Linked DNA regions of Kluyveromyces lactis. The protein of the gene in region 2 interacts with the protein of the main gene of each other region in a biochemical or structural test. Links are inferred from orthologs where the notes say so. Each region holds a gene or a part of one and is shown on either strand. Other genes may lie near its edges.

Evidence for each region.
Region 1: the proteins of CLP1 (region 2) and PTA1 form a complex in vitro, tested with the Saccharomyces cerevisiae proteins (2 studies listed by BioGRID). The link is inferred for Kluyveromyces lactis from reciprocal best matches to the Saccharomyces cerevisiae genes CLP1 and PTA1.

What each region holds. Positions count from the first base shown.
Region 1 is NC_006037.1:330,426-334,837, reverse strand, and holds PTA1 (RNA-processing protein PTA1), read left to right. Parts: upstream 1-1,324; coding exon 1,325-3,799; downstream 3,800-4,412. Other genes in the region: SNX3 (Snx3p), read right to left, coding at 1-10; HAP5 (Hap5p), read left to right, coding at 303-773. UniProt on the Saccharomyces cerevisiae protein: Essential in pre-tRNA processing. Component of the cleavage and polyadenylation factor (CPF) complex, which plays a key role in polyadenylation-dependent pre-mRNA 3'-end formation and cooperates with cleavage factors including the CFIA complex and NAB4/CFIB.
Region 2 is NC_006039.1:860,234-863,754, forward strand, and holds CLP1 (cleavage polyadenylation factor subunit CLP1), read left to right. Parts: upstream 1-1,391; coding exon 1,392-2,705; downstream 2,706-3,521. Other genes in the region: TUM1 (thiosulfate sulfurtransferase), read left to right, coding at 180-1,079; APC5 (anaphase promoting complex subunit 5), read left to right, coding at 2,868-3,521. UniProt on the Saccharomyces cerevisiae protein: Component of the cleavage factor IA (CF IA) complex, which is involved in the endonucleolytic cleavage during polyadenylation-dependent pre-mRNA 3'-end formation. Associates with HRB1/CF IB to form the cleavage factor I (CF I) complex.

The DNA.
Region 1 (4,412 bases), on a different chromosome or scaffold from region 2:
GGGGGCACATATTACCGAATCCATATAATCGTGGACCTTGCCCGATTAGGTTTTTCAAGGTATTATTCACTCTTTACCCACCTTCGTTACTTTGCAGGAATTGGTTGAGGTACCCTTCATAAATGGTCTTTTTTATAATGAAAAGCCATAGATATTATTTTCACAATCATATCCTTAAAACGATTTCAGGAAACCGCATAATATGCTAAGAGTGGATCTGTATTGAAATCGTACCCTGTTCTTAGCAGCACAGATCCACATGAAATCTAACTGATATTGTCGATGACACTTACCTCGAAACCATGGATCAACCGGCAGCTAATAATCAAGAGAACGTAACAAACGAACAAGGACCTCTCATGGATCTCGAAGAAGATGAAGAGATCGACGTATTCCATAATGTCGGCCAGGGACTTGCTGGCAGATACAGAGAAATTATGATACAGTATTGGCAGGAACTTATTAATGAGATAGAATCCACGAATGAGCCAGGTTCACAATTCCAAGACGACTTCAAATCGCATTCGTTACCACTAGCAAGGATTAAGAAAGTGATGAAAACTGACGAAGAAGTTAGAATGATTAGTGGAGAGGCTCCAATTCTATTTGCAAAAGCCTGCGAAATCTTCATCACAGAACTCACAATGAGAGCATGGTGTGTTGCAGAGGAAAATAAGCGACGTACGTTGCAGAAGCAAGACATTGCGGATGCATTACAAAAGTCCGATATGTTCGATTTCCTGATTGACATAGTACCCAGAAACGTTCAATGATCAAACCGCCAAATCATTAGCGTATAAAGTGAAATGAGAGAAATCAACACAATGCCCCACTTACATATTTCAACCGATTAGGCAGTTGACCTCTGAAAAATGCGACATCGGTGAGCTATGACATTATTTAGTTGTTTCTAGCAATATAGCATTATTAACTCACAAATTGTGAATTTCATGATCAGTAATATACAGTTCAATCGAAGTAAATGTTACAAATGTCATGTCAATTACTGTCTGAAATCCATAAATATTCTCGGGCAGGTTTGTACCATCTGTAGCTTTTTCTCTTTCACAGTCTCTCTTCTCTATAAGCACGAACATGAAATTGAAAAAAAAATTAAACACTAAGTTCAGATTTCGTTTTGACTATAAGAAACCACAAGTGACTGAAGAGCGCAGAAACAGCAAGAGCAAGTCAGACATAGCATCAAGCGTGGTTGATACTATAAACCGTGTGTTAAACTTTAAACAAAGCACCTCAACAGTCAGTACTTTTTTGTTTTGTTCCAGTGAGTTTTCAATCATCTGTTTGCTGAGTATAGAAAACTATGTCAACTTCTGTAGACCCTTTAGTCCAGTTGCAACAGGCAGCTGCGATGGCAATGCAGCATATGCCGGAACAAATGCTTCCTAAGGTTTTGGAGACCGGTATCACATTGTTTTTAAATGATAAGCGGAATTTAGGGTTCTCGAGATTTTCTACCCAGTTATTATTGGATATATTGGTTCATGATAAGATTCCATCAAGTGAAAAACCATTCATTGTATGTCAAAACATCACTGCGCTTTGGGAAATGGCTGAAACAAGAGATTATGTCACTTACAAAAACTGTATACTATGTCTTGGTAATATTTATGACCGATTATTTGATTTAGTAGCAAAGACTTCTGATGATAAACTTTGGTCGGTAATGTTAAAGTTTAAAGAACTTATCATTGCCAACTGGAAGACCTGCTATCCTTTGGATTTGTCTGACAATGATCTAAATAACCATTCAAGAGGAACGGGGGTAAAATTAGCAAGTGTGAAGCTCATTTCGAAAATCATTATTGTGCACACCTCAGGACCCGGAATTAGCGTGGGAAGTATACCAGAAAATCATCCTGTGATATCTAATAAGCAAGCGTTGGAGGCTGAAGCCAAATATTTGTTAGATAAATTGTTAACTTTTTTAATTGAGGAACCAATGATGTGTGCACCATGGTTCACAGGTGCTCTTCATAGTCTTTCTTTTATTATGAAGCAGAGACCATTGGCCACAATTCGAATCGCATCCGCTTTACTGAAATTCAACATTGACATGAAATTCCAAAGAGATGATGAACCCACTTTACAATACAGACTTGCAAAGCGATTTGTGGAACGTTGTTACAGAAATTTAGTTCAGTTCGGAATTAAAAGTCAACTACTCAAAAACAGTGGATCCATGACACAGTATAGAAACAAACTAGCTAAAATTTCACAGACTCTATTCGTTATTGGCGAAGAGACCAAAGCTAAAGGTATTCTAAATTATGATCCGGCTGCGATTGAACATAAAATGACTCCAGCTGATAAAAAAAAATACACTAGAGTGAAGGAAGTTAACGACTCTTCTTCAGATTCTTCATCAGGAACATTTTCAGCGACAACGAAATCTCCGTCTCCTATTCAAATGCCACCGATTGTTTCGCCAATGATAGGAAATACAATGATGAATACGGCATCTACTCCACCGTTACTGAATAATTTTCAACCTCAGATACATGCCCCCGTAAAGAACATACCTGCTCCTCCACCCCCACCGCCTGATCTTTCTGTATTGCAATCCCTTCAGAGTTATGCTTTCACTAAATCCACGACAAAGCATCCACATTTTTTGAATCCTGCTCATACCTCTGTCGATAACTCATATTCTGCCGTTTTTGCCTTAATGAACCCCGTCACCTCCGGATTCGATGTCTCGAAGTTGTCTCAAGATACCATGGTTAAAATATGTACTGAGGCTTTAAGTAACACAAACACAGGTACTGCCATTAATGGACTATCCATAGTTGCGTCCAGGTACACCGATTTGATAAACAAGTGGTTACAAAACAATGCTCAACAACAGAGCGCAACTATCTCCAACGATAGTAGTCCAGTCCCATTCAACAACAGTAGCCAAAGTCAAGCTAGTAAACGTCCCAGAGAAGAGAATTCTGCAGCTTTGCCAATAAAGCAAGAAGTTGCAATGAAAAACGAAGAACCTTTACAGCAGCCTGCGGACGATAGGTACGTAATTGATGATTCAGCTCCTATACAGCCACCAGAAAGCAAAAGGGCAAAGATCGAAAGAGTGGAAGATGCAGAACCATCAAGCAGTCATACAGTATCCTTGGGTGTTCCAACTTTAACTTATGATGAGAAGTTGACTCACTTGCAAAGAATTGTGCAGAATATATTACTGATACCAACTAAAACTGATGTGAGCACTCCAATGACACAATTACAAAGTACAAATCCATTGGACAAAGTTCTACTAATGAATTGGGACAATAAGACCTCCTGGGTATTCTTATTATCTAGACTCTGCTCTAGAGGAGTGTCATCGAATCAAGATGTGAGAGATATTGTCACCAACGCAATTTTTGACTACTTCTGTGAGGATTTCCAGAACAGAATCACGCTTGTACTTGAATGGCTAAGTGAAGAGTGGTACCATGAGGAATTGATTTCCGATGGTAAAGATCATACCATATATAATGAATGGTCAGTAAAGGTGCTAGATTTCATGATCCCCAAACTTGATGACTCCCACAGAAGATTGTTTATTCGAATGGTCAGTGAAATGCCGTTACTTACTCAAGAACACATCGAAAAGATGAAATCACTATGTTTAGATCCTACTAGATCGGTATTGGGGTTCCAGTCTTTGAAATTCATGTTGATGTTCAGACCTCCAGTGAAACCGTTCATCAAAGTTGCCCTCGAATCTATGGCTGAAGTAGACGAAAGTATCAAACCACAATGCGATTCACTATTGAACAAGTATTTTTCCTGAGTAAAGCTATTCTGAATCAATGTAAACCCTGATTTCTAAATTTATATATCTATATACTAGCCGTCGAAGATATTGCAATTTGGTTGCGTTCCAAAAGCAATATGTAAGGAGAAACTTACTACTTTCCTATCAAACCGTCAACGAATAAAAGAGAATCATAGCTCGCTAATGCCCAATAGGTTTGGCTGAAATTCCACCATGTATCAGTCACTTAATGAGAAATTTGAAGTTTTCAAAAATATAACCTTTTAGCCACATTATCGTTAAAACATATAGTTAACGCACGCACAGCACGATCTCATCTCGTTCTCGTTTCCCTTCGAAACAAAGGACACACACAGAGCTTCTTTGAGAAAAAGAAATGAACTAATGCCGTCTCGCTGAAATTTGAAAAAAAAAATAATTTCAACATCGCTTCTTCTTGAATATGTTTTCAGGAATCTAACTAAGTCAGAGGAAGTGAAAGTGATAAACAGAACGAACCAAGGCCCGAAAAGAGGTGTGCGTTTATTCATTGTGTTTAACATCTGTTGGATTAGTTAGACTGCTTCAGGAAGGTAGTCTTCTTTCATTGTGAAAATCTGCTGTCTCACAAAGATTTTTTAAGAACATT
Region 2 (3,521 bases):
AATTAGATCTTTGACCACAGCAAAAGTAAGGATAGGAAAGGGGAAGGAACTCACAGTTACGACGTAGAAGGAAATCAGAATTTTGCACGTTGTAGTCGCATTATTTGGCTTGCTAAATTTGATTGTTATTGCTCTACCCAATTGCGTTTCCCAGATCATTGAATTGTTTTTAAAACATCATGACACTTTACAAATTATTAACACCTAAAGCATTCGCAGAATTATTATCCAAGGAAACTAAGCGCCGTATTATCCCAGTAGATTCCACCTGGTATTTACCAAACTTGAACAGAAGTGGGAAGCAAGAATTTTTAGATGAAGAACGTCTAAAAGGAGCTGTTTATTTTGATATTGATGGTGTCAAAGACATGAAATCTGAATATCCTCATATGTTACCAGATCTCAGTACTTTCAATAAATCCATGAGTGAATTGGGACTGAAGAAGGATGATATTTTAGTGGTTTATGATAGAATTGGTAACTTTAGCGCACCTAGATGTGCATGGACATTAGCTGTTTTGGGACATGATCCCGTATATCTCTTGAACAATTTCCCTGCCCTGAAACTGTCTGGGTACCCCGTTGAGACTTCTAAAGTGACAAGTTTTACTCCATATGAAATGAGTGAATACGTGTCCGATGTTGATTTGGCAGAGAAAGAAACAGTTTCCTTTGAAGATATGCAGAAATTGGTGTCGACAGGTGATATTAAGAACTACCAGGTTTTGGACGCTAGAAGTCTTCAAAGATTTACTGGTGAGGCGCCAGAACCTAGACCGGGCCTCAGCTCTGGTCACATTCCTGGCGTTCAGCCATTGCCCTTCCTAGAGGTCTTGAACAGTGATAAAACTTTTACTTCAGATCGTGAGGAAATGCTAAAGAAAATACAAGACTTCGTCTCGCAAACCGGCAATGAGTTTGAAACCGATAAACCAACCATTGCAATGTGTGGTACTGGTGTCACAGGTGTCATAATCAAGACTGCATTAGAGATTTCAGGTGTCAAGAATGTCAGACTCTACGACGGGTCTTGGACCGAATGGGTGATGAAAGATGGAGAAGTGGCTAAAGGAAGTTAAGAGAAATACTTCGATAGAATGAGTGATTTCCCATACACTGAATGTAGGGAAGATGTGAAACATGCAGTACTACCTGAAAGAACAGTAGCTCTGCATCCCTGACACTTGAAAAGAACCCTGCGCAAATCAATAATTGCCCACAATTGGTTTATACTATATTTTCAGTATGTATGCTAGGAAAAATCTGTAATGATATATTGATCAAAATTAAAGTGTTTAAGTGTTAGAAAAGGTTTAATTAACATAGAACAAAAGGTAGATGAGCTGATAGCCCGACCATTACCACTCGCAGGAGAAGCTAGAAAAAAGGAAATGGAGTTTGTAGAATTCAGCGAGGTTTCTGAGACCACTAAGACATCGTCTCTTCCGCAGGGCCATGAATGGACCGTTCAAGTTCCAGCAGGATCAAAGCTAACAGTTATTGTGAAGTATGGGATCGCTGAGATACTGGGAACAGAGCTTGCCAACGATGTGCCCTACACATTCCAAGGTGTAATAGTGAACATCTATGCTATTGAACGATCTATGATCGAATGGAAGTGTTTAGAAGAGCTTGAGCCAAAAGTTTCGGAAAATAAGTCATATCATGCCTACATATACAATCTAAATTTTGCATTAGAAAGATTACGACTCTCTAGTTTCAATGGACCTAGAGTACTAATAGTAGGTAACGCCTCAACTGGAAAATCATCGCTAGCTCAAATGCTATGCTCATACGCGTTGAAGATTAGACATTATCAACCGTTGTTAGTGAACTTGAACCCACAAGATGGTGTTTTTTCTTTGCCAGGTTCAATTACAGCGACACCCATTTCTGAGTTGCTAGATGTTGAAAGTTCTATATGGGGTCAGAGTATTACTACAGGTGCTACCAAGCTCCATAACAAGCAACCTCTTGTTAAAAATTACGGCTTGGAAAATATCAGAGATAATAGACCACTATATTTATCGACGATTACACAACTAGCATCGGGCGTGCAACAGAGATTAAAGAACGATCCAATAGTAAGAAGGTCTGGCGTAATAATTGATACCCCTAAACTTTCACATCTTGACACCGAAGATTGGTCCGAAGTTGGCCACATGATAGAACAATTCGATATTAACGCAATAGTGGTATGTGCAGAAAGTGATGACTTAGCTATCGAATTGAGTGAAGTATTCAGGACTAAAATAGGATCAATTGTAAGAATTCCGCCACCAGGTTCAATTATCGCAATTGATGATATCATGAGAAGAGCTTTACAGAGGGTTCAAATAAGAGAGTACTTTTATGGTACCACAGAAACAGTCCTAAGTCCATACACTATGGGTGCTGGGTTTGAAGAATTAACAGTTTTCAGGCCAAGAAATATCTCTGAATATGGAGAGGATAAAAAGGATGTTGATCTAACAGTATTTGACAAAATTGAAGTCAACAGCTCAAACTTACAGCACGCTATTATCGCTATCACTAATATATCTAGAAAAGAAAGCCAAGATAAACTTAACACTGCATCGATAATCGGGTACGGTTTGATCACAGAAGTGAATGATTCAAAGAAAAAACTCAGGGTATTACTTCCAGTACCGAGTAGAATACCAGATAGAGCTATGATTCTCACCGAGTACAGATACTTGGAATGATTCTTACTTATAATTCTTTCATAGTCATTGTTTACATATTTATGAAAAATGTCAACAAAATCGGATACTTTATTTAATGATAGGATATACACAAATGCGAATAAGATACACCGAAAAGGAAACTAATATATAGAAGCATTAAGATTGCTGCTGAGGTTCATTATGACCGTCGAATTCCAAAAAATTAGGGTAGTAACTGGCTATGATCCGTATGATCTCAGCTGTGTGGCGTTACTCGTATTATATTGCCTAGGGGAAATAAACTTGTCCCTCCATAACATCACACGAATATTACAAATAGTTCCAAATGATGAACTGGATAGCGTTGGGCTTCCAACATTAGAGAATCTAGTTTTATATCTCCGAAAGAACGAGGATAGTCAAACTAAGGCTTCCTTTAAGTTGATCAATCTCATATTTTCTATCTCCAGTTTTAACCACATTCAAGAATTGATTCATCATTTAAGAGATGCAATAATAGTTTCTCCAGATCAACAAGGAGTCCTTTCGAAATTCAGGAGAATTTTATGTCGTTCAAGTGTGATTTGCGAACTTCTACCGCGTGTTATAATAGACTCCAATATCAGCGAATTCTTCGTTGAAGATATTCATCAAATAGTCGAATCTTTTCAGGCATTCAAAACTAGGTTTTTATCCTGTGATATATCAAACATTTACAGAGAGGATATCAACAATTCATCAAATTTGACGAGCAGGATATTCTCACATACTCATACGAATGATTGTTTTCCAGAATCACCTTTTATAACCAATCAAGGTATAGGCAATTCATTGCCATGGTTAATAGTATCAGCA